Drosophila melanogaster: one gene and its partners. The protein of the gene in region 3 purifies or fractionates together with the protein of the main gene of each other region. This does not show direct contact. Each region holds a gene or a part of one and is shown on either strand. Other genes may lie near its edges.

Evidence for each region.
Region 1: the proteins of CG2070 (region 3) and jagn purify together in Drosophila melanogaster (affinity purification with mass spectrometry, with the first as the bait; one large-scale study listed by BioGRID). This does not show direct contact.
Region 2: the proteins of CG2070 (region 3) and CG31729 purify together in Drosophila melanogaster (affinity purification with mass spectrometry, with the first as the bait; one large-scale study listed by BioGRID). This does not show direct contact.

The regions. Positions count from the first base shown.
Region 1 is NT_033777.3:5,773,084-5,784,170, reverse strand, and holds jagn (jagunal), read right to left. Parts: upstream 4,857-11,087; 5' UTR 4,744-4,856; coding exon 4,655-4,743; intron 4,372-4,654; coding exon 3,999-4,371; intron 3,937-3,998; coding exon 3,805-3,936; 3' UTR 2,863-3,804; downstream 1-2,862. Other genes in the region: kat-60L1 (katanin p60-like 1), read right to left, coding at 641-954. UniProt on the Drosophila melanogaster protein: Required for endoplasmic reticulum organization and proper vesicular traffic during vitellogenesis. Required for oocyte and bristle growth.
Region 2 is NT_033779.5:13,284,515-13,295,948, reverse strand, and holds the start of CG31729 (uncharacterized protein), read right to left. Parts: upstream 5,953-11,434; 5' UTR 5,263-5,952; coding exon 4,658-5,262; intron 2,941-4,657; exon of another isoform or gene 2,871-2,940; coding exon of another isoform or gene 2,676-2,870; exon of another isoform or gene 2,534-2,675; intron 320-2,533; exon of another isoform or gene 191-319; coding exon of another isoform or gene 126-190; intron 1-125. Other genes in the region: CG16824 (uncharacterized protein), read right to left, coding at 2,676-2,870; Uvrag (UV-resistance associated gene), read right to left, coding at 6,659-6,773, 6,859-7,269, 7,322-7,644, 7,708-8,575, 8,636-9,009; Drep4 (DNA fragmentation factor-related protein 4), read left to right, coding at 9,540-9,779, 10,131-10,254, 10,309-11,297.
Region 3 is NT_033778.4:7,656,401-7,666,906, reverse strand, and holds CG2070 (uncharacterized protein), read right to left. Parts: upstream 5,053-10,506; 5' UTR 4,871-5,052; coding exon 4,791-4,870; intron 4,742-4,790; coding exon 4,478-4,741; intron 4,409-4,477; coding exon 3,992-4,408; intron 3,937-3,991; coding exon 3,720-3,936; 3' UTR 3,499-3,719; downstream 1-3,498. Other genes in the region: Rdh1 (retinol dehydrogenase 1), read right to left, coding at 1-220, 277-433, 498-761, 891-970; CG2065 (uncharacterized protein), read right to left, coding at 1,783-2,011, 2,073-2,332, 2,398-2,554, 2,611-2,867; Grl43a (gustatory receptor-like 43a), read left to right, coding at 6,319-7,398, 7,469-7,651; CG30495 (uncharacterized protein), read right to left, coding at 8,471-8,687, 8,745-9,173, 9,232-9,495, 9,609-9,694; CG30491 (uncharacterized protein), read right to left, coding at 10,207-10,435, 10,492-10,506.

The DNA of each region.
Region 1 (11,087 bases), on a different chromosome or scaffold from region 3:
TGACTCCTGGCACATTCGCTTGGTATTTATATTGCGGGCTGTACTCGTTCGAATTTGGGTTAATGTTTCCTTCATGTGCTCGCCCACGATTTCTTTGATTCTCGGCTCCTGATTCCTGATGGGAATGATTAGTGGAGCGGTTAACTAGGCCACTGCCTATTTGTTCCCATTACTATGCACAAATCAATGGGCCATAATCTAGGAATTACTTGCATTTGAACTGAGCAATTGATTGATTGGCAAAGTGTTACAAGGCCGGATTGAGCGTGGAAAAACCCCGGCATGGGAAAGTCCAGTGATGGCGGATTTCCTTGGACTCGTAGTTATGATGGGCCACTTGAAATCGTGTCACCAAGGGGTGCTTATGCTAATCCCATTGGCACAACACAAGACATTTCGTACTATGCAAATTACAGCAAAATGCCAATTATGACTGGCAGAAATATACTCGCGAAAGGAAACTGGATGGGGTCAAGAAGGTACCCGGTGGCTTTCTTGTATGCAACAAAGGAAATACTTTGGGTTGATAGTTGACCAACCAACGAGCTAGTTACCAACTGCCAGGTCAAGGAATTCAAATGCGGAAGTAATCCAATTTATAGTGGATTTCTTGTGCCCACAGATCTCTACTAGCTCTTACCATTGGTGCAGATCCCAGAGCGAGTGGTATGGAGTGTGCCGGTAGGTGGGAACGAAGGGTACCGCCACCTCGTACTCAACCTGGACGTTGGGCGGCGACTGGGGCCGCGTGGCCAAGGCGTTTGAACGCCCCAGGACGGGATTGGAGCTGGTCAGCGATCGCTGGCGCATGAAGGAATGTTGCGCCGCCGCCGCCTGCTGCTGCTGCTGATTGTAGAGACTCGAATTGTTGTTGAGCAACTGGGCCACTCCGCCGCTCGGATCCACGGCTGTCTGGCCCATGCCGAACCAATTCTGTGCACTGGTGTTGAACATGGCGCTGTGCCGGCGTCACACAGATTAGGACGAGACACAGACACTTCACTATTAATTTAAAAACACACGCGGATATGTTCGGGCGGAAACTTTGCTACCTGACAGTCTGCGCCTGGAGCCTTCGATTGGCTCGCACTCGGAGTTCGAAAACGCGACCCGACCAGCCGACTCGAGGGTTGCAGTCCAACTGAAACTGACCGCTTGACTGGACGACGCGTCCACAACAAACCGACCACCACTACCATTCCGGTATGGAACGGACCGGACCGGGTAGTTTTCCCAGTTGCCTGGTGTGCGTCCGTGTGAATGCGGATTGAGGTTAAAGGAAGTTTCGCTTGGGCGCTACTTTGGGGGGCGGTTTCAATCATGGTAAATTACGGGGAAAGAGTATCTCGACTTGGGGGAAAATAAAGAAATCGCCGATCGGAGCTAGGAAATGCCATCTTTCTAAATATTGATTGAAATTCAAATATATGGATTTCAGTTTAATGGGTTTATGTTTGTTCTGCTTATATGCTCCTTGTATATAGCTATTGATAGGTAAAAAAAAGAATATATACAATATATAAATAAATGAAATATATAATATTTCTACTAATGTCTAGTTGCTTATCGAAGTTTCCTCATTGTCTAAAGGACATTCGTGCTTCTATGTAAGCCCACAGCACTCTCAACTCCTCGGGTTACCCAACGCGCTGGACTGTGGTCAATGCACGCTAGCTTCTGGCTCAAGATTTCATCGATTTCTGGGGAAAGCAAGGCGTTCACTCACTCGCGTATGCCCGACTATTTACTCAAACGGCAGTGGTTTCCCAATAATCTGCCGGCAATGTAATTTAATGGCAGGCTTGCATGCGGCCAAAGAAAGCCGGTTCTTGAGTTGGCCTCCCCCGAGGACCCAGAAACTATAGCATACGTTTGAGAGCACCGCCATTAGGAGGCTTGAAGTGGTTCGTCCACATTTCAATGTGCATGTAGGCAGAACCCGATAATCCGGAGGTGAGCCACAAGCGAAGGCCGTTTCGGATGCGCGCACACACATATAGTATCTGTATATGTATCTAAAAATCAGCTGCAGCGCGAGATAAAAATCGATTGCGGGGCGACAGTCATGGAACGCTCAAGTGTCTCGGCACGCCTTGCGCCTCCAACTGGCACCCACCCTTTTGGACCTTTGCCGTTGCGAAGCACTCACCCCGCAGGACTCATCACGGGCAGGTATGTGGAAGTGGAGTCCACGGTGCGTATGGTGGTGTTCCCTCGCAGCACAATCTTCTCGCGCGTGGTGCGCCTATAGGTCGCCTCCTCGACCCGCATTTTGCTCCACCAGTCGTTTATTATTTAAATTTAGTGCGAGTAATTTCGTAATTTTGAATTTTTCACAATTTTTTTTCCTTAGTTTTCGTGTTTACTTCGGTCCGAAATGGTGTGTTGGAAAATTCGGCATCCGTTCTTCGCACAGGCAATGTACAAATGGAAAATTAAGAGAGCGGGCGGAGCAGGGAGAAAAGGATGCTGCGGAAAAGCTTTGGCTCTCCGCCACAGCTTTTTCTCTCTCTGTCTCAGCTTCCTGGCTCTCCGTCGCCAATTGTAAACAATTGCGCAATGCTCGCCTGCTGTTGCTCCTCCACTCGCCTCGATGCACAAATGGTCACTAAAACTGGATTGTTGTGGCCAATTCGGCCTGCCAGCCGCATTGCAACGGCCTGTGGGGTTGTGTTGGATTGTATTGCTTTGGGCGAAGGTCCTTATTTGGTGGTGTTTTTCAAGAAATAAAGCTTGAGAACTTGTATTTGCCTCTTTAAAGTTATGATAAATATTGTAGATGAGCATATAAACATTAAGTGACTTAATAGGTATACTTATCAAAATTTGTTTTAAATCAACCGCAATAAAATGCTATGTTTAACCCACTCAGAAGAACAAATATATATGCATCTTTATTGATCGATTTTTAAAAAACTACTTAAAAATTCGAATAATAAATTACGATTTAAAAAACATCATTACATTAAAATTCAATTCTCAGTTTAGTTTGGCGACATGCCTGTCATTACACAGTATTATTGACGATCAGAAATTGAAGAACTTTGCTTTAACACTCAAATTGCATTTCAATCCTTATTTATAGTAGTGTGTAAACAGTGACAGAAGGTTGTAAATAGTTTGGGGCAGTTCTCAAACGTTCAGCACCCGGCCAGACGCCTTAAAGCATGGCACTGTGCGGTTCGATGAATAAAATTCAAAATTAACGTACTGGCAAAAATGAAACGGTTTCGAAATTTGTAGAAAAGTGAACTAATTATCAACTAGGCGAGGAAGTAACCATCCGTGGACGCAAACATAAACTGATGTACGCATATTTTCATGTGTAAATATATATATAAAACGTTTCTAACAAACACGAGGCACGTCGAAATGTAAGTGAGCAAAAATGAAGTGATCTCTAGGTTGGTTTTCAGTTTTTATTCCGACTCGGGGAAATTTGGTGGCTTCAGTTGCTTCTTGTCTTTAGTTGACCTCACAAGGCTGCGTATGTGTGTATATATGTATGTCTATGTGTATAGGTGTACATGTGTATATGGATAAGAGTCTATTTAATCAATTTGAAAACGGTATCAACTAACTTTCAACTAACAATAACCTTACCGCCGACGCTTCGCTCAGTTTCGACCATATGTTTCCCTTCCTGTATGACTAAGTGTGCGATACCTTAACAGCTGCATAACTTTAGTTTACCATAGTTTCATTACGCTTTTGTGCACTAGTGTTTTGAGTTAGTTTCAAGTTTCCAAATTATTTACAACTAGCCCTGCATTCCGGCGTTTACTAGTTTGGCGAGTATTTAGATTACTGGAACTTGCGCGTGGCAGTTCTGGCCTTCCAGGCCTTGACCAGGTTGTAGGCGAAGTACAGCGTAAATCCGTGCACCTGGAAGCCCACAAAGCAGAAGGCATACCAGAAGACGCCGTACGGATAACCCTGTAGAAAAACCGAGGTTTAGTAGGGCGGCTCTTGAGGGATTAACTGGCCCAGCCACTTACGCGCCACACAAAGATGTCTGTCTCGTCCAGCTCCACCGACTTGTCCAGCGTGGCGAACTCCCACACGTCCGAGAAGTAGTAGGCGAAGCAGTAGAAGAGTGGCAGGATGGCGAATAGCAGTATGGCCACCATATACTTCTGCATTTCGCGCACCTTGTTGCCCCTGGCGGCCGAAAGGCCCAGGAAGGAGGTGAGCAACGACGCGGCCCACACGTACTCCCACCACAGGGGCGGTGGGACCTCCAGCTCCTCGATCTCCAGCACAAAGATATCCAGGTGGTCCAGAATGTCCGACGTCAGCTTGGCCAGCATCACGAAGAACAGCAGGGCGTGAAAGAAGATGCAGTACTTCAACCTGGACTTGTTCAGCAGGCTAAAAGAGCAGAGAAAGTGGTCGTTCAGTGGCGGATCTGTGTGGGTGAGCCCCATATTGGGGCGCACATGCTGCCCAGCTGGCACTTTGCCCACCCGCCCCCTACAGCAGCAAGTGGGTGGGTGCAGCAGCTCCAGGGTGCTCCGCCGCCCTGGCTGGACGCCACCTGCGATTCGGCTGCAGTAGGTGCCGCCTGCAGGTGGATCTACTGCCACAGGCGCCCCAGTAATTAGATAATTTCGAGTGTAGCTGAGAGCTGGCGATAGCACGAAGTGTTATTAACCTAATTTGATATGTGCCAGCTACGCGCTGCCTGAACTCGAAGTCGTTGCCATCGGTGCCCGCGACCATTGGTCCGCCGCGCGTTGCCATTTCGTTGCCTTCGTTCGTGGGTCGTGTCGTTCGCTCACGTCGTTGCTTATTTTTAATAAATAATTGCACAAAAAATAGGGCTGGCACTAGAATCGATGTGTGTGCGATACCATCGCTGCCACCAAAAAACTGGCGCACATCGATACGCTCCTCGCTACCATCGATTACTTTCGCTTGAAAGCATAGCAAATAACCGTTAGAAAGAGAGGGGAAATTCCGCTAAGTTTTAGAATGTTCATTTTCAGAAAGTCTGCCATGGAAACTATTAATACATCTGCATGGAAACTGTTTACAAAACATTAATTAAATTAAATAATTAGCCTTTTAACTGTATTAGCAACACGTGATTAGTCATATTATTTAATTATTTTAACTTATTCTATTACAGTTATTAAACAGTTATTAGTTTTAATAAAGTGGCAATGTGGTCGTGGTGACTAGCTCCGCTTAGGGAAATTTTAATTGGGAGGATGACTTCGCTAGGTGTGTAACCTCGCTAATGCTGTGTAGAATAAATGTGTTATACTTACATACGTAGAACTTCAGTTTTTCTCTAGTTAGTTTCGGCAGAATGTAGATAGATATTCGAACTAGTCGCAAATGAGAACGATTTTTTAAAGGTAATGCTGAGAGTTTAGCATTGCTAATCTGAAAAGTGGGCTGGTGAAAAATAAAACCAAACCTATTCTTAATGGCATTAATGGCACTTAATACTTTAATTTTCATATCTTTTTTGCACGATTTTAGAAAATGAGGGCTGGTTTTAATACTCCGATTGAAATCTTCCATCCATATGAGAATTATTTCTACTAAAAGTACAAACGCTAGACTAAAATGAATTGAATTGCATTCCAATTCCAATATGTCTTATAGACCAAATGGCAGAACTAGTAAGATTTAGTAATGATTAATGATTAATGAACGGGTCGCGATGAAAAATATTACTCGTAGATTAAAAAAGAAGTATTCTAGATTCCTTTTTCAACGAATATGTATCAGGTGAAAGGAAGTGTTTTTCGAGCCAATAAAGCATATATTGGTAAGGAACACTAGCCGAATCGAACTGGCCATGTCCGTCCGTATGCACGTCGAGATCTCAGGAACTACATATATAAGAGAGATTAATTTAGTTTTATTGCTATGTCAGAAAATGTTGAAATTCATGTTTGAACTTTCACTAGCAGAGAAAGGAGTATCTAATAGTCGGGGAACTCGCCTGTAGCGTTCCCTCTTGTTTTAGTTTCTCCGTACCTTGTTTTTGAATTTGAACTGCAGTTCCAATTTTTCGAAGCCAATAATGCCTAGTGCGTCAAGCCGAAATTATCATAATTGGGTGCAAGTGCTCTTTGATGGGATTATGCAAATTGGATGCAGCTTTGTGTCCCAATCAGTTTTCCAGATTGGAAGCAGTGGGTGTGTCCGGCGGACTTTCGGCGCTCTGTCAACTGGCCAGCACCTGTTGCACCGAAATCCATAAATCAATCTGCCACGAAACAAGAAACAAGCGAGGAAAAGCCAATCTGCGAAAATAGAGAGGGCGACGACGTTTAAAAATAAAATAATGAATTTCCCATTTCAACGCACTCTCTTTATGCTCGCTACGCTACAAAAGTCGAGCATTCGGCCCGGGTGTGTCATCAGTTCTACGGCGGTATTCCTCCGACTTGGACGCGTTTTCATCGCATGCGATCGTCTCCGGCCGAAAGTCGCGTCTTTCCCGCTCCGATTTTAATGTCAGTTGTTGATAATTTCCGCTCGAATATTTATGCTGAGCTCGGTGGCTGACACTTTCGAGTCCAAAGTTGAAGTTGCGCCATAATTGCGATTCGGTCCATAAGGTAATAGACCAGAATAGTACCATCACAATGAGTGGCACTTGCATATTAATTGCATTTCATCGCCGAGTCTTTCTTTGTTTTCGCCAAAAATGAAAACACATACGCGGCAGATTTCATGACTTTTGGGGCCGGGACCTCCACCTCGAATGTTGCCATTATATATATATATATTTTTTTTTTTTGGCAAATAATGCTATATGAACTATAAACCAATTGGTTAACCCTAAGAATAGAAATAAAAGGAATTCGGCTAGCAAGATGGCTCCTGCATAGATTGTACTTGCACTAGCAACTAGTATTTGGTATTGGTATTGGGTCTTGTTGATGTCCACTGTATTTGCATATGATTCGACTTAGCGTGTGCCGTGCGATATTTGCTTAGTTATTACAGACTTAAAACCATATCGATCGTGTGCCTTAGATAGATAACAGCCTGTTTAAAGTTCTGCCTCTTTTCATTTCAGCTGCGTTCCCCGGTGATACCTACACCCCCGCGTGACTTGTCGGTTCCCAGTATCTTCCGGATAGCCCAGTCCCAGTCACCGATCCTGAACCGCATCCAGAGCCCCAGTCCAACCATGTCCATTGCCGATAAACGCGCCTCCTTCGCGCGCCGCGCCGAATCCCTGGTGGAGCGGGTGAGAGTTATGAATACCATTTACGAGGTACCGGCATTAAGTGACCACGGATCGTGAGATCGATACTCGGTTTTGTTTGTTGCTTGCTGCCCCGCTTGCCACTAATTCAGATTTATGTTGTCAGCACTGCTGCTGGCACGGCTCGTAATTTATGGCTCGAGGCGTTAAATGTGTTTCACCCATGCCATGACACTTTCCCAGTAGAAACAACAGTCCCAGGCACAGTCAAATTCCCAGTAGCATCGATATACATACATATCTGATTAGGTACCAATGGCCGTGGGTGGCGGGGCTCAGACAGCCAGTCGGTATTTCTCGGCTGATGGTGACGCTGTTTGGCTTGGCCCGACTGCTTTAATTAATCTGAAACACTCGCGTACGTTGTGCACATCGCCTTAATGAGTGGGGCCAAATTGTGCTCGGATCAAGGTCGTCGGAAGTGTTCCCTATCACAAGACCGATTGCCTCCTATGGGCATGGTTACACCCGCCGCACAAATGTGTGTGTGTTTCTGAAGGGCAGCTCTCGGTGGTCTCAAATCCATGTACGAGTATGTATGTTCTTCAGTAGTTGGAATGGCCTTTTGGCCGGCAGAACAAACTAAGGCTATACTCGTAGGTGGCACAGGTCACCACGGAGCATACAGCTCTTTAGTATTAAAGAAACCTAGATTGGATGATCCTGATCCTTATAGGGCACAAGAACGATCAAAATCAGTTCGGCTTGCTACCAATGGCATATTCGCACTCGCGGGGCATAAAAGAGTCATTGCTCCACTGTCTAGCTAAAAATAGGTGTCCCCATGCAAATAGCCCCCAAAACTGCGCGGTCATCGTGGATGTAGCAGTGGCAGTGCTTATGCTTCTGTATGGGATTGTATGGGGACTCAATGGAATTTTAGCAGAGTAGCCCCAAGCGAATTTGTCAGCGGTTGGGAGAAGTGAAGACAGTCGGGGGCAATGGGAAGAAGGCAAAGAGTTGCATGGGAGTAGGGAAAGACGTCCATATAATGGCATCCACACTGCAGCTTTAAGTGAGCGGACTGACCAGGGCACGGCACACTCACTGGAAAGACCGGGTTCATTGGACAGACGATCCATTTCAAAATGATTTCTGCACATCCATACATCGAATACCAAGAGTAAAGAGAGAGAAATTGGGTGGTCTAAAGGCAATGAATGGGAAATAAAAACGAATTAAAGTGACACTTTTGAAAGAATATTCATTTTATTGTGTACATACATTTGATATGAGGTTAAACACCATAAGCCTATTTTAATTATATCTTGTGATATCATAAATGCATGGCTTTTTATGCTGCTTTAATAAAATTAGTTACCATATACTGATTGATTTTAAATTGATTTCTCAAAACATCTAAGTATATTGCTAAGTATTTGATTTCAAATTTGAATACCCATTTTGTGTTTAAACTCACTTTCTCCTCAGGAAAGAGACATTAGATCCTCGTTTGTGGAACGACTAAGCTTCTAATTAGACTGTTTTTTTTTTAGCTGAATCTATTAATAATATACCCCCCCCCCCTCCGCCAAGGAAAGTGGTGGAAGGGCTTTCTTTGGCCGCGCCAAGTGGAGGAATTAAAAATGTTAATTAAATTTCGGTTCGGAATGGAAGGTGGAGGGTGGCGGAGGGTGGAACCCGAGCTAGGTGATTCGCCTGCCAAGAGGGCGCAGTGGTGGTGGGGGATTCGGGACCAGGTGTTAGTAACACGGACTTTGCTTACACTTTGCATATCAATTTGGGACGAGTGGAAGCGGATGATAATGGCGGTAATGATGCTGATGATGGCGCTTATCAATCAGCGCGGGAATTTCGGTGACCAAAGCTTCATTTGCATTCCATTCGAACGACCTTTCACTGGCGGATGATCGATGTTCGCATAAGCCATGCCCATCTTCCCCCCATCCTCCGTCCGCTGGGCCAACGCATGCATTTATTCCATGTCGTGTACACTCCTATCGTTCCGCTCGTGAGTCCAAAAATAGCTGGGCAAATAAGTTGGGTGGCGTGAGTTCGCGACTACGACGACGCGAACATAACGAGCAAAATAAATGAACGATAAAAAGCCAATAAAGAGCGGCATAAATAAATGCGTAAATATCGAGCGTATACATTATATCGTTGCGGAGGAATTTCCGAAGATTGCCTGCCACTTTGCAGGGCAGGGGCGCGGCTCAAGGGGCGTGGCAGGAGGCAGGAGGCATAAAGGAAGATTCGGCAAACGCATTTGCTCAAGTGTCGCCGTTGTCATCCTTCGGCTGTTGGTTTTTCCAGGACGTGTGTTTGTGTTGCCATTTGGGCTTAAGTGTTCCGGGCTGATCCTGCTGGTGCGGGTGGTTCCAAGGGGGAACAGGATGCTCCTGTAAATGTAGGACGGGATTTAAACTGTTGCAAATATTTAGTGGGCTCTTTAATATATCCAAATATATCCAAATTCAAAACGTTAGGTCTTTTCCATTAGTCTAATTAGTAAAATACGATATAAGAATAAATTGTGTATCAAAATTCATGTGCTTATATTCCCTTTTTGGCTCGACAATTTACACAAAGTGCTTGAGTTTGTTTTTATATTTTAACCCATTGAAGAACAGAACCCCTATGATGGCTTTTGCCCAAGCTCCAAGGCACCAAAGGCACCGAAAAAATTGATTGGATTTGTTTACCAAGAGCCATTGCTTCCTGTTTCGCTGACTGCCGACAAGTCGTTGTTTATCTCTTGGAATTTAGCGTCTGTTTGGGGGAAAACCTTGAAGTTGAGTTCCTACTTTCACGCTTAACTTTGCGAATTGACATAAATGGGATATTTGCGCTTTGCCAACTCCCCAGATACTCAGATACCCAGCTACCCAGCTACCCAGCTACCCAGCTACCCAGTTACCCAGCTACTCAGCCAACTACTTGGATCCGCCTGAACCCATGCTCCGCAGCTTTTGCCGCCTTGAGCAATCGGCTTACACACTATCAATTGCAGCCACCCTAGTTTTAGCACCACCCCCCTCCCCGCTCTCCACTGGGATCCCATTCAGCCATTGTTTGCCACACCCACATCATCCGCTAACCGCTCGAAAAAGGCGTATATTCCCCAGGTGCCCATTCACCTTCCTGGGCCAACGCCTGCCCGCCCATAAATCCACCTCCTTGGCGGATTTTGTTGTGGGTTCGAAGCACCTGCCTGGATAATTGTGGCTGACAATGGTGTTTGTTCGTTGCTCGTCGTTTATGTGCATGCAGCGCTGTTCCTTCGCCCGCCTTTTGCTTAATTCCTTTGTCTGACTGGCGGCTTTATGCGCTTTCAGTCATCATCATCATCCCCATTTGTTTAATTAAAGCACGTGTCGAAATTGAAACACAAAAAATTATGACACATATCTGCTTATGGCCTTGGCGGAAATGCATGCAAATTTTGAGAAGATCAGCGAATTGCTCTCGTAAAACATACATTTAATATGGTTCATTTAACTGAAATGAAACAACCTTTTGAAATTTTTAAAATATCTTCAACGGTTTTTCTTTCTGTGCTCTTGTAAATCGAAAGAATTTAAAATCGCATGGAGTATCAAGTATCCAAGCCTTCAGTTCATCCAATATTTTTGGTTTACCCCTAATTGGCTTCAACATTTTGCGCTTTTCTCATCCAACTTTAAATTACTTTCACTTTGGCCAGCCAGCATTTTCGAGCTGCATCATCGGTAGTTGCGAAGGGGATGGCCTTCGATGTCAGCACATAATAGTAATCCATTCCATCATATCACCGTACCGGCCGCACCGCACCTCTGCACCTATGCTCTGTGACCCTTTTTCCATATCCATATCAGAAATTTCGACCCGGCGGCCACGCCCCCACCCA
Region 2 (11,434 bases), on a different chromosome or scaffold from region 3:
GTTGGCCAGACGATTTCATGTCATGATCTCATAAGAAAAAGTTGCCAAAAATGCTTAAGGGAAAGTTCAACGACCAGTCTGCTACAGCAACAGACAAAACAAAAGGGCCAGCAGAATTAGCTCACCTGTATGACTCATGCTGCACTTCAAAGTCAGCGCTCTTACCGCCGAAGCCTTGGGGCTCCGCCATAATCCCGATATGTGTCACGCTCGTTAAATACGCCTAGATGCGTTTTTATTGTATTTTCGCCATTTTTAGATGCTCGCTTATCAATCGAACTGCGATTCAGCTGAGGTATCTCATCCTGTCTACCCACTGAATTGAAATGCAATCGTCAACAATTGCAGTGGCCATAACAAACAATTGCCGCAATTCGTTTCGTTCTGAGTAATTAACTGGAAATTTCAAAACGAATTGTAGACCTCAGCAGTTTGGATTCCATGCTACTTCTCAAGCAAATATTGTTTTCCGCCTTTCCTATTAAATATATATTTAACCAGCTGCTAGTAACGAGATTTTTGCAAGTGTGCACATTTTCGGCATTATAAATTTCGAGATTTCAAGTTTTTGATCTCCCATTTTTAATGATTCAAAAATGCACGTTTTACGCTATTACTTGAAAATAAACAATTATAATTTAAAAACTTTACGTTTTAATATCATACATATAAGAATAATAGAGCTGTGGATATGGATGACATATAATTATATCGAATGAAAATCTTTTAAATGGGTGTATAAGATAAATATTTTTATCAGTTCTGTGGCTTGATAGCATTGCATTATCTTTGACCCAGATCAAAACAATAATAAAAGATTCGAATACTACTTTGGTTTGTAAAAGCTGAAAATTATTGCATGTAAAATGAAACAAAACTCATTTAAGCCCATTAAAATTCTTTTTAACCGAAACCCCGTTTATCAAACATAAAAAGCCACGAAATTGTCAGGGGAAAAACTATTTTTCACTGATATAGTTTTTTCTAAGTACACGAGTACATGATTTGTGTTATTTATGCATAGCCTATCGGTTACTCATTGCTTATTCCTTTAAACTTCTTCAGCCGTTTTTATTTATTGGCTGTGTGCCACAAAGAAAACTATTTACAAGTTTTTTCACAAGTAAACTACATAATTGAGGGCTCAGAAATGTGTTTAAAATGACCTATAGCTAGAAATTTGAGTTATTTTTTATTTTGTATATATTACAATTACCTACAGCTACTTGCTACTTATACTTATCAGGCTTAAAAACCCTTAAATATATTACTTTACAGTCATACCAGCTTAAATTCAAAAATATGAATTATTTAAAAATATTATTTTTTTTAAATCGAACGGCTGCTTTACTCATTAGTACTTGTACATAAATATTTTATGGATTACTAATTATTTTGTTCCAGTTTCTTGAGCTTACATCACGGAAATTTTGTAAAATCCTCAAATGAACTGCAACTTTGGCTAGCGATAATATATTATTATTTTTGAAAAGCGAAAATGTACATATTGCTATATGTACCATATGCACATATGGCGATTGCGGAAAAAGGCAAATATGGTTGGCTATTCGGGCGGGAGTGGAACGCTAACACGTGTACAATATACCCTTTCACGGGTAACCGGATTGGAATGAGGTGAGCCATGAATAGTGTGACTTGCGCCGCCTTCTGCCTTCTGCCTTTTGGTTATTAACCCACATTGCCGGTGGGTGGAAAACAATGCCAGGCCAAGTTGCGGGCGTCAATCGTTGAGGCATTTCACCGCTCAAGCCTCCAAGCCCCCGGTTTTGCCATGGCTTTTTCTGTTCCCAGCCATTTGCATTCGCAACTAGATAAACAGCTAACGGCGACTAGAAAATAATAACATTAGGCGTTACCATTGACAGTTTGTGGCGTCCACGAGGGTGGTCAGGGGGGTTGGGGGGCGTGGCGCACTAATTTGGATGCGGCTAAGTGAAAAAAGCTTGGGAAAAGTTTTTTTGTCAGCTGGTGGTAATGGCTTTGGTTGTAGCCATTACAATTAGCTTAAGTGATTGATTAGAGACTTCAGGAGATTATTGAACTGTTTTCAAAATTTAACTGAAATTTAGTAAGTAATCCAAGTTACTTGCCTTGTAAAAGACAAGCACCTTAGGTTATCAGTAGCTCTCTCACTTGATAGAGCAATGGAATATTTTTGGAAGATAGCTGGTTCCACCACAGTGGCCACCGTGGCAACAACAATCACACCAACCAAATTGTGCCGCATGGCGCCTCACTTTGCAATTCTAATCGGCCTGTCGAAATCTTTGAGCCTCATATAACCGAAACGGCGGCAATTGGAGTTGAGCGTGAACAAAATGTAACGAAAAACCCGAGAAAAGTTTCGAGCGCCCCGAAAACAGCTAGGCTTTGATTAAGGAAACCTTGAGGAGAAGTTGAATGTGTAAAGGCTTCAAGATATTTTCGTGGTCAGTGGGCGATAACGAGTTAAAGACGCACATCAAAGGCAAAAAATGACATTGAAGTATTGAATTTGGAGATGAAGACAAATACCAAACACCAAAAGTTATATGTTTTTTCAGTAATTTGCTGTACAATAACGTGAAGACTTCAATTCAAGGGATAATAAAAGTTGGTCCACATTGGTGTGTTTTGAATATGCCAAGATATACAGATGAAGGTGTGGCAATGGATCACTTTTTGCCGGACTTTTTGATACCGCCGCCAAGAAGAGGTCCCTTCTTGGAGGCACCTGCCTTGGCCGCCTCCATAGCCTTCTGCTGCTCCTTCTGCTTCTGTTTGAAGGCCATGTCCTCCTCGTCTAGATTCTTCGAGTCCTTCTTGGGCGCCTTTAGAGGCTTCTTCTTACCGCCCTCGCGTCCAGCCATTCTGACTTGCTATTGTCTTTTCCCACTTTTGTCGATTTCTATATCAGTATTTGTCAATGTTTACTTTTTTCACATTCAAGTGACAAATAGATGTTCACATAAGGAAACGCTTTGTCAACATAGAAAATTTAGAAGTTTAAATAACCATATCAATCTGCAGATCTATGCTGCAATTATTTGAAGTTGGGCGGCAGAGAAACTTTCAATTTTTAACACAGAAAGCAGAGTCCGACCGAAAAAGTAAAACTAAAAACCCTAAAGCGACTCACTTCTTGTGTGCAACTCGTTTGTATTTTTTAGAAACCTTGAATACAAGATTGTGTTGTGTGGCCAAAACCAGCTGAGGAACTGGTTTTCGAATTTTTTAGCATTTCTTGGTGACTTCTTGAGTCGTTTTCGTTCATGTTTCTTATTTTCGTTCGCCCACCAATGGGGCTTAAAGTCGCACGGCAAACATCGATTAAAAATGCACAGCTAACGGGTGGTGTTGTGTGTGATATTTTTGGCCAAAGTTTTGCGGCAACAAGAGTTTGTACTCTAAAACAAAAACAAAACAAAATAATAAGAAAAACGCTCGCTTAGTGGGTGTGGAGCAAGGAAATGGCAAGGAAAGGCGGGGCATGGATGGCAATGTTTGCGTTTCGTTTATGCCTTGTCACCCAACCAAGTCGCTCGTCTTGGCCACTATTTATAGCCGTGTTTTTGTTATTATTTTCCATTCGTCGAAATCTTTTCCCCCAGTCTTGGAAGTCGTCACGTTTATCGATTTGCACAGTCCGTCGACGGCGCGCAGAAAACGAAATGTTTTTAATTTTCTTTCTACGATCCACTTACAGACGTGCTTGCTTGTTCGCATGTGCGGCCTTTCTCAAAAGTTCTCTCTAATTAGGTAAATTAAAAATATATCTTGGAATCGTTATATATATATGCTATACATATATGCTTTACATACAGTTGCATTCATTGTGTATGTCACACATGTGTGGCGCACAAATTCTCACACATTCAGCTAGAATTTATTTTCTTGGAAATGTGTTTCGTAAAAGTTCTAAGTTAAGAAGAACATCAAATTGCAAGACAACGCTGCTCATTTTGGGAAACCACACAATGATTTGGCTCATGCCAAAAAATAATAAACAAATATTTCAAGTGGCAGAAACAAAACAACAACTTGTTTGCCATAACAACTGTTGAGTTGCGAAAGTGATAGAATGTCTAGAACGTTACAGAGGTCAACGTTTTTTCTTGCCAAATATTTAATATACATTTCAATTATTTATAGAAGTTTACGATGAAAAACAGTTTTATACCTAGTGTTGTCAGCATTTTATGAGCAATGGTATTCTACGTTCAAAGTCAACTATCTACGGAAACACAGATTATAAAATTCCACAAAACTAATTTATTTCATAAGACATTTAAATTGAAGCGATAAGAGATAATATTTCTTCAAAAATATACAAATTTTCGAGGTCTTAATGTGATAGATTAAAACTTTTGCTTCCTGCTATAGTTATAATTTATTCAATACCTTGTGGTAAAAGTAAAAGGGTCTCAATCGCCATTAAACGCTTATGTGCGAAAATATAAAACATTTAACCATTTTCCCTAAAGGTAACACTTGAATTCCCAATATTTTGCTGGCCAGTGAACAGCTGTTGCGGCACTATATACTTTCGCATTACTCCCGCTGCCGCCAACTATTGCAGCAGTGAAATGGAAATATTGCGCATACGCAGCGTTGGCATTGGAGGGTAACGACTGGATCGCACCGAATGCACACTCACCTGCAGAGGCACAACTTGCAGACGTTGCCAATGCTGCGACTCTTGCTTTTACGCCGATTGTGCTGGTAGAAGACCGTGGATGAGCCATTTTCCGGATCTATGACGGTTGTGCTGTGCGTAGCGCCATTGCTGAGATCCCCCGTGGCAGCAGATCCTCCAGATGCCGCTACACTGCCATCGCCAGTGGTTACTTTAATGCCGGTGGCACTGCCACTCCCACCACCACCGCCACCGATCGATCCCGCCCCCGCGACGCCCGATGACGTGTGCGTTAATTGCGCCAGTTTCGAAATGCTGCTGTAGCTACCGTTTGAGTGTTTGGCGCGCTCGCGACTCCGCTCATTTCTATAACGTATCTGGCCGGCGGCAGAGCCAAAACTGTTGGATCCGAAAAGATTGCCCAGAAAGCTGCCTCCGCCGCCGGCGGCAGAGCTGCCAGCGCCGGCGTCGACGCCGCTGTAGCCCATGGAGCTTTTGCGTCGCCCCCTAATGTTGTTGTTGTTCTGTTTACCGCTCGGTACATCGCGGCGTATGAGCAATTCGGTCTCCGAATCCGTTTCGCTCTCTTCGTCGAAATCTCGTAGCGGTACATTGCTCTCAGCCATTTTCAAAACAAGAGAGCTTAAAAGAGAGCAAGCGTAGTCAGCTTAAAGTAATAAGTTTTGATTAAAAGAGCTGTTCGAAAGAGTTTTGGCGCCTGAATTTAACTAATTAGCACCAGAAATGCAGTTTTACTCTCACTTTCAGATGATATTATCTCAGAAAAATTAAATGCTGGGTACTCAGTTAGTCTTATTGCCACGTTTCCATTGAGCAATTTTCAGGCGTGAACGACGGCTGCTCCTTATCACACCTGGAGTTTTATTCTTTTATTTTTTATTTGAGCGGTAAACAGGTAGGGTAAACACACTATATATACGCGTAAATCACAGGCATTCCCCGTCGTCCGCTTATCAGTGGCTACAGTTGCCGGCTACCAAATCGTCACCATAAATACCAATTGCCTACTATTGCTCAGCGTTTTAATTTAATTGATACGAATTCGATAAATAAAAGGCCAAGGCCCGGGCCACACACACATATGCACATGCACTTCATTTAGCACGTTGGTTTGCAGGCTTTTCGCGTTTTCAATTATTAAATCGATTATCGCACTACGTTTGGACGTTGTTTGGGTATTTGACAACACATTTTTTATTTATTAATAGCCCGGATGTAGCCCGAAAAACATTCAAATCCCGGAAGCAAGTTGCCAGCGAAATAATTTTGGCGAAATGCTAATCAGCTGGCTTTACAGACCACTGTTAACGGAACGGAACGTTTTGCAGCACTGACCAAGCAGTGGCTGTAATATTTTGAGTTTATTAAGGATTTAAAGCAAAACTTACATTTTAAATTATAAAGCAAAAGTTAATATAAGCAGATTGTACAATATTATGTAGTAACAGTAGCACATGGTATAATTTTTATAAGTTAAAGGAGCAATTTATCTTCATACTTTGCAACACTTTTTGGCGCCTAATTCAAACTATAATTAAAACTCATAAAAATACTTTTCAAACAGAATATACAAATAAACTAATTTTGGGGCTCAGCATTATTTCAGAACATATGAAGAAAGGCTTAGGTTTTCCGCATCGTAACCACTTCGTTTATTGTGACCTTGGATATTGTTCGACTTAATCTCTATCGACGTGTTTCTAATGTTTGTCATCCATATTAAATAAATATTTGTCATGTATAAAATATTTAATCTTTATTCGTAGCTTATATTAGCAAACAAACAATAAAAGGGAATTTACACAGAGATCTTAAACAACTAAAAATAATATTATCGCAATGGACTACCGTTCACATATACTTCACCATTGACTTTTATAATTTAAAAGTATACAATACGCGGCCAATACCAAGAAACCCGCTGAGGAGGAGCCGCTAAACAATGCTATCTTGGATATTGGATATAAACGCTGGAAATATAACACTTTTGGGTGCATTAGCTCAGCTGCGCTCAGTTTGCAGAGTTATGTTGGAGTCCGAATTGGAATAGTTATGCTCCAGTCGCGGGCGAAACTCATCCTCGCCATCTGAATAGGACCCCACCGAACGGCAAATGCTGCAAGAATATTACAATATATTATTATTAAATTTTATCCGGTAGTTTTTGTTTTTGGCTCTAAATATATGTATATATAGATTACCGTTGAGTTGACGCATAGCCTTCGATTGCCAGTGCCTCACTCACACCCGGCGGCAACAGCTGCTGGAGCAGTGCATCCTTGACCGCATTGACGCCAGTCGGCAGTGGCACATGATTCATGTCGACCGAAGAGTGCGATTGCGACAGGTGCGGCGCCGTCAACCCATTTGCCAAGCGTGCTTCTCCACAGCCAGCTCCAACTGCAGTTCCATCCCGTTCGTCGACCTCATCCCTTTGCGTTCGTTCGATGTAGCGAAGAGTGCTGAATAGCTCCAGCAGATTGCCAAAAGTGTTTCGCAGATCGCACTGGCCCGTGATGTCGAAGCACAGCTGCGAAACATTCTGGCGCAAAAGGTAGATGGCATACTTTGTTTGCTGCGACGGCAAAATGGAGCGTGTATACAGAGGAAATCTAAGATGGAACAATAAGATACCAAAAGGTAATATTTAGTCTGTGTGCTTACTCTCTTGTTGTGTACGTCAACTCTTTGATATCGTCCACTATCCTTGCTTTCGATGGCTCGTACAGAATACGGTTCCTCAGAGGTCGATCCATAATGATGGCTAACATCTGCACCAAATGGGCAACATAACCCAGTGCCGCACTCACTGCCAGCGGCGAGACGTTATCCAGAAGCTGTGCGTTTGCCGCCTGACGTGACTCGCTCGTGTATTGCTCCATGTGGGGGAAGGCGATGCCGCAGATACTAAATTGCCGACCGCCCACATTCTGGATGTTATAGATCTCCTGTAGCTCCAACACCAGTGTGGACATTCGGCGCTCCACCTTAAAAGGGTGAAAAGGTTTATTAATATACTTGTTTAATGTTATTTGATTCCGCAGCCCCACCTGCCGTTCTATTTGTCTTTTTTGATCGCGCTGTTCCAGATGTTGAGGTGCCAGGGTTCGTAGCTCCAGACGTTCTTTTTCCAGTCGATGTCGCTGGCTGTGGAGCTCCCATTGCTGTGCCTCCCGCTGTTCTCTCATCTCCTTCAGAAGTTGACGGGTGCGCTCGTTTCGTTGGCGAAACGTTTCCCGCTCCGCTTTAAGTAGCCGCTGTTGACTGCTTAGCGCTTCTATCCTTCTAGTTAGCTGCTGGGCATTATAAAGCGTGAGGGGCGCGATCTGCTGCTGCTCGGCGAGCAACACGCTCAGGGCGCGGCCCATGGAATGGTACTGATGGGCGGAGTAGTCGCCGGACAGCGATGTCGTGCGGGGCTTCAAGCGCAGCTCGTTCCTGGTCACACAGTGTACACTGAGGCGGGCTATTTCTCGGCAAACCTCGGCCATTTGACGCCGCTTCTGCTGATGCAAGCGTTGCAGACGTTGCAACGTGAGAAGCTTTTCGAGGTTGTTGCTTCGCCGAATCTCCTGCCGTTGGCACTTCAGCTGTGCATAGCGCATCGTACTCATTCGCAGCACGGGACTCGAACTACGACTAACGGCCGGCGAGTTTATGCCCTCATCCTGCGGCTCTTCTAGTTTCTCTTCCTCCGCATACTTTTGGTAGTGCAAATGCAGCTGCGACTGCAAGGCCTGCTCGCTTATCATCGACGGGGAGGCAAATTGCTCGCCATTCAATTGAAAGACCAAGCAATTTCGTCCGCACTGGGACAATGTGAGGGGAGACAGAGGTATAAGGCCGGAGAAGTAGACGCCCCAGCTGAACAGTAGTTCAGGAGGGCGTGGCAGCCTGCTGGGCGTTAACTGGGATCTTCTGGAAGTAAGTTGGTTGATGATAGCAGAGTTCTATTTGCAAGCAAAGTCTCCTATTTACCCGAAAACATCCTTATGTCTTTGCTCAACCTCAGGCGGTTGGCCATCTCTTCTTTCCGCCGAATAGTGCTTCCACACCTTGACACAGACACACTGCGCATTGGTTTTCCGCCAGGCCTCGTCGTCCGTACAAATCTCCGCCCACTTTTGCTGTTGGTGACGCTGCGGCAGCTTTTCGCTGGTGTAGAACGCTTCGCTAGCCTTGTCCGTGTGTAGTGTGTAGTAGAGGAGCACATCATCCGGATCATCTAGCTCCAGCGACTTCTCATGCGGCCAGGACTCAATATTGAATCCCTGAATTCTGTTAAGGTTCCGCAGTCGAAGTTGCTGGGTGGCTAGGGGCAGCCACTTGCGGCATCGCGGCCGTAGATTCATCGTAAAACGCCTTTCCGGGTGAGCTGCGGATTACGCGGAGCCCGTAGCCCAGATCATTGTACACTAAGACTACGTTTGTTATAGTTTTTCCACAGAAACTTTTAACAAAAAAAATGATTACCCGAACAGCTGTTTTTAGATGCATAAGTGCTGCAAAACACTGAAGGCAATAGTGGTGGGAAATGCGCCGTTCAACTTGTATTTTATTAATTTGGCTATTTTCATTTTATTAATTTACACATTATTTAATTTAAGAATAAATGAAAATTTTATCAATTTGAATTGATTAATAAAAATATAAAAAATATTTCGTTAATTACAAAACACGGGAAAAAATAAATTATTATTATATAGCTTTTTGCAATTTTTAGCTAAAATTGCAGCACAACTAAAGAATCTTTCAATGAGAATCTAGTGTTGAGAAGCGCGAAAAATGCCTTGTTCTGCTAGTTTATTTTGCTTTGTCCGCGGATAAGGAAACTTGCTGCGAGGACTACATTCCAAAGTTGACTTTATTATGAGCCAGAACGATGATCAGCTACATTAGAGATGCAATCATGTCACCGACAACACGCAGCAGCTCGAATAACAAGAAAAGCAGCCAGCCAACAGGCGAAGTTCTCAAGGATGTGAGCTCATCCGAATCCAGGGGAACAGCAGGTGCTCCAATGCGTGGCTACAAGGTTACTGACAACGAGCGAACGAGGAAATACGGAATCGGAGCCAATTCCCTGGAAATGCTGATAGCCAAGGCAAAAAGCAAGTTCCCGGTAAGAAAAAAAAAACAGGAAAAACTCCTGCGTAAAAGCGCGAAATATACACCCACCCACGTAGATGGGCTGAAAGTTCCTGGCTCTGGTAATTTTCAAGGCCATGTCCCTGGCAGTGGCTTCCGCGTTTGTTTGGCTCTCTTTCAATGCCACTAGTAAATGCCAATGCGCATGTCCTGTATAGTAGAGCTAACCACCTGTTGATGGAACGTCCTTGCCTGGCAAAAAAAAAAAAAGAGAAATGTGAAACAAACTGAAGGCCCCTGAACCAGGAATTGGGCGACCTGGCCTCGTTATAATTCGGCCATGTCAAGGGCATTACAATTAAATCGTTTTTTTTTTACCTTTTAGCTTCTCGAGCCACATTTGTATTTGGCTTCTGATGGCTTCGAGGTGTCCGACGATGAGTACTTAAAAAGCCTACCCGCCCAGACGCTGTTCATAGTGTCTGGCCCGGATGCAGTCATTACAACAGGTGAGCTGCAGTTTAAATATTTAACTTAATCACAATTAATCTGTCTTCTATTAGATGCCGATTTTGAGTTTGAGAAGATGCGACAACAATCGCCTTTGCTAAAGGTGGCTGACATTTTCTACGATTTTATCGAACAGCATCCGGAAAAGTTCCGCCGCATGATAACGGAGTATGAACACCAAAAGCAGCGACGCGTCCTGGATAACAGCAAGACCCACCTCAGCTTAAAGGCCGAGCACGTGGAGTGGTTCACGGGCGGCGAGGAGCGCTTCCACTCTAAGGAGGAAGCTATGGCCACACGTGCCCAGACACGTGTGCGAGGCTACTACTATAAGGCCAAGGAGGAGCTGACCCGCAATCCCTTGTACCGCCAAAATGCCAAGGCCCGACAAGTGATAAACTCTGTGCTGGAGAAGTTTCGATACCTGCTCATCGGTTGCGACTTTTTCTCCATGATGTTTGACCGGAATTGCAAGCAAAAGCATGAATTCCTGAAGCAGCACTTGGGCGACGAGGAAACAGACGCTGGCAGGATACCCAGCAAGAGACTGAGGCAGGTGATTAGGGAGTACACCAAGGAAAACTGCATCCTCGACGAATGGTCCACTTCCTTGTGCTCCGACTTGGGTGACTTCTATTGCCAGGGCTCCTATTCGGAGAATGGCAACAGCTGCTCTAAGCAGCACACTATTAATCCGTACGCTTCGCGTGAGAATCTCATTTTGTTTCAGGTCTGGAATCTGGACCACCAAATCGAACTGTGCCGCACAATCCTTCCCGCACTTGTTGCAAATGTGGAAGAACTTGTGAGTCATCCGCAGACCAAGTGTTCAATTCATAAGAAGCAAGTGGTCGATATCTCAGTACTGGAGTACTTTCTAGAAATATTCTCCCTAAAGAATCTCAAACTAGTGCACATTGTCTGTCATGAGAAGGCGCAGCGCTCAAACCGTTCGAATGGTCGCCTACTGTGCTCCGACTGTCATGAGTATCGCATTGTGCAAGAGCTGATGGAAGTCCAGGTGGACAGTCTAGCCACTTAAATGGTATGTGAGAAATATATAAAAGTTACCTAGCCAAGCAATATTGTACACAATAACTTTACAAAATGTATCTACGAGTTTTGTTGCTATTTTTAAACAAATATTGTATATTCAGTTGTTAAGCATATTATATTGCT
Region 3 (10,506 bases):
GCTCAGTGTCCACCACACCAGGGTGAAGGGCATTTACTGTGACTCCGCTGCCCTCCAAACGCTTGGCCAATTCCCGGGTGAACAGGACGTTGGCCAACTTGCTCTGGCTGTAGGCTAGGCCCTCATCATACGACTTCTCGCTGTTGAGGTCGGCTACGTTAATGGAGCCACGCGCATGTGCCAGACTGGACACAACGACAATGCGACTGGGAGCCGAGTTCTGAAATTTTGTAAGACCATTATCTGACGCACTTGACTATTATATAGCACACTTGCCTTCAGTACGTCGAGCAGCAAGTTAGTCAACAAAAAGTGACCAATATGATTTACTCCCAGCTGCAGTTCGTAGCCATCCTTGGTTAGGGTCTTGGGACAACGCATCACGCCGGCATTGTTGATCAGGACGTGAAGCTTGGGTTGCTCCTTCTTGAAGCTGATTGATAGGATAGGTTTTTAAATCTTACAGAGACAAGAAAATTCTCTGGAGGTAAGCTTACCCATCAACAAATTTGCGAATGGAGTCTAGGGAACTTAGGTCCAGCTCTCGAGAGAATATATTCTGGTTATTTGTCTCCTTGATGATATCCTTGCGGGCCTTTTCACATCGGTTCATATCCCTGCAAGCCAAGTACACAGTTCCCCCACGTCTGGCTATCTCCAGAGCCGTCTCCTTGCCAATGCCCGTGTTGGCACCGGTCACAATGAATACCTTTCCGGTCTCATCGGTGTCCTTCGTAAACTTTCCACCTTGCATGTACTCCCTGGAATTATCAATAGGAATTACCTGAAAAGCTGTTATCTATTACCCGGGGGAATCATAGTAGCGAGTCATGGATGCGTAGTCACACTGGTATATTTCATAATTACACGAAATAATTACCGCAACTCACTTCAAGAAGTAGATGCCCACGCCGATAGTAGCTGGCCACATAATCAAGGGGCTCAATAAGCAATCGATGAAAATGCACATTTTGAATATCTTTGTACAATTCCTTGTATTTAGGGTGTTGTCAGATCTTATTTCAATCGTTGAGTGCGTTCTGGTACGAACAGCACAGCTGTTAATATATTACTGAGCACAGCTACCCCACACAAACATATATTATCGCTAATTCGGAGTGAGAACCTGACGAAATGGAGAACGTCGGGAGAGAGATTCTTAACGAAGGTCAAGAGAAAACGAATTCTCAATAATATGTTATGATAGTGGAAAGCATTCAAACAAATAAAAGCAATTCCATTGATGTTTATATTTACTCAATGGGTATATTACGCGTGGAGTAAAAGGGTATAATAGGTTCGCTGAACAGTATGTAACATATAGAATAAAGTTTATATTTAGACTTGATCAGCAACACTAGTCAAAACGATCCATCCAGCCATATCCGTCCGTTTGAACGTCGAGATATAGGGAACTAACTGATTCGTTATGTTACATACATACTTTCCAACTAATTTAGTATACCCTCCTACTCCAGGAATAACGGGTACAAAAATAAAGCATGAATCATCCAAATTGATTCCATCACTTTTACAAAAAAAACAAAAGAATTTGACCATTTTTCTTTAGTACTGAACACAGAAATGCAACAATGTTGATCTCAAAATACAAATTTTAGATTAGGTAAAGCTTTTTTGGGAGCATTTCTTTATTTTCAGCTTGTAGAATCCGTAAGAATTCTACAATTCAAACATAAATTATTACATTTTGCGTTAGTCTTCATTATGATAAGCTATTAAAATAATAAATTATGAAATGGCGAGGGATAAACTAATGGTTGCTTAATCAACTTTGGTTGAATTCACGCCGGTCCACTTCTCGCTCTCCGCCCAGAGGAACTTTCCAGTCTTGTCGTCCTGGGCAGCTGCGGACACTTCCTTTGGCTGGCAGTCGCTAAAGTAGAGCCCGGAAACATCCTTTAGTGCAGGATCCAGGGCTGCGTAGAGAGTGGTCTGCGCTCCATTGCGAGGGGTTTTGAAGAGTACCCACAGGAGGGGCTTGAGCAGTAGCCTAAGCGATACGAGTGTTAATATCAAACTCAAGTAGTGCCCACTTATGTCTTCTATCTTACTGTGCAAAGGGGTGTTTCAGGAACTTCCAATTCCTCGACAGCTCCGTGTCCACGGCACCGGGATGTAGGGAGTTGGTTGTGACCCCCGTTCCCTCCAGGCGCTTGGCCAATTCCCGGGTGAACAGGACGTTGGCCAGCTTGCTCTGACTATAGGCACCGATTCTGCTGTACGACTTTTCACTGTTTAGGTCGGCAGTTTTAATGAAACCTTGGGTGTGCACCAGGCTGGAAACGTTCACGATGCGACTGGGTGCAGTTTTCTAGTGAGATTAAGCAGGGAGTTTGGTTAACAAGGTGCTAAGAAAGTCCTGAGTACCCAAAATACCTTCAATACGTCCAGCAGCAAGTGGGTGAGCAGGAAGTGTCCCATATGGTTGACTCCCAACTGCATTTCGAAGCCATCCTTGGTCAGTGTTCTGGGACAGTGCATAACTCCTGCATTGTTTATCAGGACATGAAGCTTATCCTGCTCTTTCTTGAATCTAATAAACGAGGGAAATCAGTAACGCATTCGTCGATCTATCATGTTTGCGTTTACCCAGCAGCGAATTTGCGAATGGATTCCAGCGAACTCAAGTCCAGTTCTCGAGAGAATATGTTCTGGTTATTTGTCTCCCTGATAATATCCTGGCGCGCCTTCTCGCACCGGTTCATATCCCGGCATGCCATGTACACAGTGCCTCCTCGCTTGGCAATCTCCAGGACCGTCTCCTTGCCAATGCCCGTGTTGGCACCGGTGACAATGAACACCTTGCCGGTCTCATCGGTCTGCTTGGTGAACTGACCGCCCTGCATGTATTTTCTGAAATTCATTAATTCTTATCACTCTATTTCAACACAGGCCGCAATTCACGAGCGTATTAATCATTACTCAGCAGTAGAACTATTCCATGCAAATACCTTAGCAAGTAGGCAGCCAGTCCGATAATGGACGGCCAAAAATGAGGGGGCAGCACAAGCAATTAGTAAGGCAGCCCATTTTGTTTGGATACAGTATAGATCTTGCCGCCGTTTGTGTTCGTTTCACTTGCTGGTTCTGTCAATGAATGTTTGCCCGTCCGTTTGGAACTGCCTTTTATACGAAATGTACGCTATCTGCTCCAAAATACACGAAAGCCACAAAACGCTTACTCACGATGAGTTTGATTCGAAACTGCGAGAGAACGAAATATGTTTGGGGTTTGCTGAGAGCTTTTTGCTTCTAGTTTATAAAAACCTCATTGCAAGTCGAGCAAATGCATGATAAGCTAAATAACTATCTGCAAGTCTAATTTAATTAATACCTAATCTTATAATACCATATTATTCTATTATTATTATTCTTATTTATATTCTATTATTTTCGATTAGTTTTTCACCTGCTTCTATGACAGCTCATGACTTAAACCGAAATCATATATTGCTAAATAGTTCAGATTCTAGTGACGCCAAGGCAACGTTAACTAAATGTTTATTTAAAAAATGCAATTACTAAATCAGTTTATTTAAGATTACTCAGATAACTGGTTCCAAGACTTCCAGCCAAATGTTTTTAAAATGTTTGTAATGTTTTTACAAAAGTTGAACAGAACATCTAGCTCATTTAGCTTATTCTATTAAATGTATTTCAACAATACAGGGTAAGAGTTAAAAGAGTCATAAAGTTGCTCATATATTAATTCCCGTCCACTTTTCACTTTCCGCCCATAGGAATTGGGCATCATCGTCATACTGGGCGGCCGAGCCCACGTGCTTCTGCTTGCAATCGCTGAAGTATCTTCCAGATACTTTTTCCAAACTGGGATCCAGGGCAGCGTACAGGGTCGTCTGTGCGCCATTCCTAGCCGTCTTTATGAATATCCATATAATAGGGGCTATGAGCAATCTAAAGGCGAGCCGAAAGTTAATAGCTGATGGGATGATGCAATCAGCAAACTTACTTTCCAAACCACGAACCCAAAAAGGGTGTATTGCGGAACAGTTCCGTGTTTACTACTCCGGGATGTAGGGCATTTACCGTGACCCCTGTTCCGCTCAGGCGTTTCGCCAACTCCCTGGTGAAGAGGACGTTGGCCAATTTGCTCTGACAGTAGGCCATCTTTCTGTCATAGGACTTTTCGCTGTTCAGGTCGTCACGCTTAATCCTTCCGAAGCGGTGAGCAATGCTGGACAGGACCACAACGCGACTGGGCGCGGAACTCTTCAGGACATCGAGAAGCAGAAGTGTGAGGAGGAAGTGGCCCATGTGATTCACTCCGATTTGCATTTCAAATCCGTCCTCCGTCAGCATTTTGGGGCAGTCCATAATGCCGGCGTTGTTGATAAGAATGTGAAGCTTGTTTTGCTCCCGCTTAAAGCTAAAAAGTATTAAATTGAGTACCTTTATTTATATGTGTATTCATTAAGGTCAATAGGAATGTGCTTACCCAGCAGCGAAGTTCCTAATGGACTTCATGGAGCACAGGTCCAATTGGCGTGCGAAGATGTTCTGGTTGTTGGTCGCTTTGATGATCTCCCGACGGGCATTCTCGCACTTCTTCATGTCCCGACAAGCCATGTACACGGTAGCTCCCCTGCGGGCCAGCTCCAGAACGGTCTCCTTGCCAATCCCCTGGTTGCAGCCGGTCACAATCGCCACTCTGCCGGTCTCATTCGTTTTCGTGGTGAACTGACCTCCCTGCATATATTGTCTAACTGGCTGAGGTTAAAGGGCCATCACTGAGAGTGGACAAAACTCACCGGAGCAGATAGATTCCGATGGCCGAAAGAGCTGACCCATATGCCAGCGGGCAGAACAGGTAATCCGTGGGTGCACTCATCTTTCCGCTCCGAATGCTACCAGCTCCAAGTGGCGACTGGCCAGATCCAGTCCCCTTACACATTTCTTTATACGAGCAATATCAAAACCTCGGAATGTCCATACTTGAAACATTAACGTGGACCGGTATAAAACATCGTTTTAAGTTTAAGGTTGGAGGGTTTACGATTGCCGCGTCGCCGAGGGAAACGGATGCTTCCGTAAGTTTTTATCGTCCGGCCAAAGTTTATTATGTAAGCTGTATAGATAGAATCATAATAACCGTCGATCATAGGGTAATGTAGATATAGCTAAAGTGTATTACTAGAATGAGTTTCAGACCTAGGCTTTCAGATCGTCTTAAATGATGAATGTGGGAAAGCTCTCTATAAATACACCTTATTTAAGGCTCTGTTTTCACAGCAATCGATTTGTAAAAATTACATTTAATGACCAGCTTCTGCGATGACGAGGGGAAGTAGTTAGTCTTCCATGTTATTAGCTTGCATAAATTAAATGAAATGATAATTTTTGGGCAGCAGCTCCGTTTATTTTTGGATTGAGCAATACTTACTTAATTTACCATGTAATTTGTTGGAGAGCCTTTTGTTTTGTTTGGGCCTTTTACTTTCATTTGGCCATTTTCGTTAATGCGAATAGTACTAACACCCGAATTCGATTCGATTAACATACTGGCCGGAATACAATGAGCACAGGCTCGCATTCACCCGGAGCCATGTGGTCCGCCACCAACTTTCGCAGGCATCAAAGAAAGCCAAACCAAGTTCTCCATCGGTGGTTTTTCAAGGGCAGTGCCTGGATCATCTACGAGCAATATCAAAACCTCGGAATGTCCATACTTGAAACATTAACGTGGACCGGTATAAAACATCGTTTTAAGTTTAAGGTTGGAGGGTTTACGATTGCCGCGTCGCCGAGGGAAACGGATGCTTCCGTAAGTTTTTATCGTCCGGCCAAAGTTTATTATGTAAGCTGTATAGATAGAATCATAATAACCGTCGATCATAGGGTAATGTAGATATAGCTAAAGTGTATTACTAGAATGAGTTTCAGACCTAGGCTTTCAGATCGTCTTAAATGATGAATGTGGGAAAGCTCTCTATAAATACACCTTATTTAAGGCTCTGTTTTCACAGCAATCGATTTGTAAAAATTACATTTAATGACCAGCTTCTGCGATGACGAGGGGAAGTAGTTAGTCTTCCATGTTATTACCTTGCATAAATTAAATGAAATGATAATTTTTGGGCAGCAGCTCCGTTTATTTTTGGATTGAGCAATACTTACTTAATTTACCATGTAATTTGTTGGAGAGCCTTTTGTTTTGTTTGGGCCTTTTACTTTCATTTGGCCATTTTCGTTAATGCGAATAGTACTAACACCCGAATTCGATTCGATTAACATACTGGTCGGAATCCAATGAGCACAGGCTCGCATTCACCCGAAGCCATGTGGTCCGCCACCAACTTTCGCAGGCATCAAAGAAAGCCAAACCAAGTTCTCCATCGGTGGTTTTTCAAGGGCAGTGCCTGGATCATCTACGCAATCGCCTGCGGACTCCACTTCTTCAAGCTGCACTACAACGAGCGCACCAATCAAGTGGAGGAGTCGCAGTACCATCGAATATGGTCCAAGATCGTGGTTGTCCTCAAGGTCATACTGCTGGCCAGCCCGTATCTACAGTACTTCGTACTCGGACTGGGCATATACATCCACATCACACTGGTGCAGGACAGCAAGGCGCAGAACTTCCTAATGAGTCTCATTGTGCTCGGAATCGTGATAGGCGTCCTGCGGCGCCTACTAATCTTCCTGCACCTGAAGAGGGATCGCAGGTTCCTGAAGCATACTGTGAACGAGATCCTGCATATAACCAGCGCGCTGGAGCAAAAGTTCGGTATGGAGTATAAGTGCGACTCCACATTGCTAGTGGTGTACCTGGCTAAGCTGTGGATACTCACCGTCATGCTGGATTCCTTGTGGTACAAGCCCTACTTCCTCTCGTCCATCTTCCTCTACTGGGTGCTGTTGGAGTACTGCTTTGCTGGCTATTTCATTTACCAACTCATCCTGCTCAGCTGGTACCACACCATTATTCTGTTCCTGCAGCGCTTCATCGAGGACCATGCGAATCGGTTGGATATTGAGCTTCACTACCATCGGCGCCTGATCCCGCTCTTTGAGCTCCATTTGCGCATCAACAATCTGCATAAGCACGTTAGGGACAACGTCTCCTGGCTCTCGACCTCTGTTTACCTGATGATCTTCACCTGCATCTTCAACGCCGAACTGCTCATTGAATGCAGTCTGTTCGCCGGAGACGAGCTGGAGAACAAGATCTACATCATCACGGACGGTTGCTTGGGACCCGTCTGCGTTCCGATACTGTATGTGCTTATCCTGGGCATGTGCACCGATCGATTTCGCGATGCTGAAGTACAGCTTCAGCAACTGTTCGTAATCGTTCAGGGCTTGTATATGAGGAAGGTCAGGCCACACCTTCTAATCGCAATGGTTCTCGAAAACGAGGTGAGATCTGCTTCGGCAGCTGGCTTCCCTGGCCGACTTCTCCAATTCATTCCCAATTACATTTCCGCAGCACACCTCGTTGATAATTCACCAGAAGCTGAAACCGCTCGAAAATATGATCATCCTAGACATCACTTGCGACAGGGAGTTCGTCATGGACTACATTGTCACGGTGATCCTTACAGCATTGTCTCTTGTGCAGTACACCATATCAACTGGAGGAAATATAAGCGAGTGCGTGACCCATAAATAGCAACCCATCTGGACCACACTATTAGGAGGATGAGATCATTATATAACTGTGGAGCTGGACACAGTTATCGTATAATTGCGTGGGTCAAAAGAACTTCCTTAGCGCCTACAAAAGTGTATCTTTTGAAAGCAGAACTCAGAGCTCGTAATTATAAAGCACTAAATGCTTACTATTTAAATGCTACAAATGGTTTTATTGTTTTTATACAAAATTAAGGTTTATTGACTGTAGTAGTAAACTTGTCAGATACGTGGTTTTACGCACTGCGATTCAACAACACAGGATTTCCCGTTTGCATAGAGAATTATGAGAATTCGTTCGTTTCAAGAAAATCCCGTGACTCTAATGAGAACAAGAAAATGCTGTCACTGTCGATTTATCCCTTTAGTTTCGATTTCACGTGATGCTTAAGGTCCTGTTCTCGTTTCCTCGGCAGACAAGAGATGCTCAATTGTGCATAAGATTTGCCACACTGGAGCCCAGTTTTATTTAGCTTACATATAGTTTAAATTTTATTTAGTAAATATGACACATGTTCCTATCTAACATATTACCTGAACTAACTATACGATTTACTTGTAAAGTAACAATCAACCTAAATTATTGTAGTTAAGGTCCACGTAACAGGTAGGATATATGAATCAGGATATCATGTTCCTCGACTAGCAAATCCTTTAATTGTTCTTATTACCTAGTACAGGCCATTGAATCTGGTATATCCTATTATACTAAGAGTGCGTACTTCAATAACCACGGCTGTTGTGAAATTTAAGTGGCTTTAATTGCGACTAGCCCAATCACACTATTCCAGTAGCCCATTTACAGCGCAATTTTCGCCCACTTCTCGGACTGCGCCCACAACCACTGGGCCATCTGGTCGTCGAGGGCAGCGGGAGCTACCGGAGCCAGAGCGCAATCGCTGAAGTACTGACCCGACACTCTTTCGAGATCAGGATCCAAGGCAGCATACAAGGTGGTCTGGGCCCCGTTCTTAGGCGTCTTCATCACGGCCCAAAGGAGCGGCCTCAAAATGGTTCTAAATGAAAACCAAAAATTAGTAAGTGTATAAAAAGAGAATTGAAAGAGGACACACTCTACCACATACTGAGCAAACTTTGTTTGGAAGAAGATCATGTTCCTGGCTATCTCCGTGTCTGCTATTCCAGGATTAAGGGCGTTGACCGTCACGCCCGTTCCCTCCAACCGCTTGGCCAGTTCGCGGGTGAAGAGTATGTTGGCCAGCTTACTTTGGCAGTAGGCTACTCCCTCGTCGTAAAAATCAGAGCTGTTGATGTCATCCACCTTAATCTGACCCCGTTCGTGGGCCCTGCTGGCGACCACCACCACCCGACTAGGAGCCGACCTCTCCAGCACGCCGAGCAGTAGGTTGGTTAGCAGGAAGTGTCCGATGTGGTTTACACCCAGGTGCATTTCGAATCCCTCTTTCGTCAATCTATGCGGTTCCCAAAACACACCAGCATTGTTGATGAGGATGTGCAGCACCCTCTGCTCTTTCTTGAAGCTGTTTGTGAATGAATTGTTAGTTCAAGAGAAAGACACTACGGAGTGGCATGACTCACTTCTCTGCAAACTTTCGAATGGAATCCAGGGACGACAAGTCGCACTCCCGTGAGAAGACATTGGAGTTTCCGGTCTCCTTTACGATTTCCCTGCGCGCTCTCTCCACCTTTTCTTTGTTGCGGCATGCCATGTAAACGGTGGCTCCTCTCCTGGCCAACTCCATCACGGTCTCCTTGCCAAGACCCGTATTTCCGCCAGTAACGATGGCCACTTTTCCCGTCTCATCGGTCTGCTTCCTAAACTTTCCGCCCTGCATATACAGCCTGATGTGTGTTAAAACAATGCATGTTAATCGGTGATAACTACTTTGTCGTCACTTTTATACGTCGTCGATAACGCTTCTCAGCGTTACATTTTAAATTGGCGTCTCACTTACCTCACGCAGAAGGCGATAATGCCGACAATCCCATGGGCCAAGAAGACGGGTGCTATGCTTTGCAGAAACCTTATAACAATTTCCATACTGGCTAAGCGGTCCGCTCCTTCTTGTGGTCTATTCCAAAGTGCCACCGCGGGCGAAATTGTGCGGGTTTTTAAGAGATCGCCGCAGCGATTACCGGACGACAACTGATAAAATTGATAGTACGGGCTTCTATAAGTGTTCTTTAATCAGAGAACCGCTATTCGAACACATTCAAAATTGCTTATAGCGACAAGAAGCCGAAACCGTCAAACTTTACAAAGAGCGAAAATGTTGCATACTGCCGAAATGAACCTAAACTTTTGGACCGAAGGCTCGGGTTAAAATGTAATGGATATACACGTCTATTTTAAACAAATGATGTAGAAATTGCCCCTAACCGGTTTCGGGGTACGTAAGTTTGAACGCACACAAGCCCTGAGCTTTCAACTCTTATTAGTCGGCCACGTTAAAATAACTAAAACAAGACAAGTGGAATTGTGTAGACTGTAAGAAACTGAAAATTTATGCGAAGTAACAGAGGGATTGTCAGAAACATATTTCACAATACGAACTATTGTATTTTAATCATCGTTGGCTTCGTCCACTTTTCACTGACTGCCCAAAGCCACTTTGCCGTTTGGGTGTCGGTGGCAGCCGGCGCCATTTCCTTCAGTTTGCAGTCGCTGAAGTATTGTCCTGTCACCTTTTCTAGCTCGGGATCCAGAGCAACATACAACGAGGTCTGAGCACCATTTCTCGGAGTCTTAACAAAGGGCCAAAACAAAGGCTTAACAAAGAGTCTGAAAAGATAAGTATTTCGTAAAAAAGGTTTTAATGGCATTACTTCTCTACAAACCCAGCAAAAAAATTA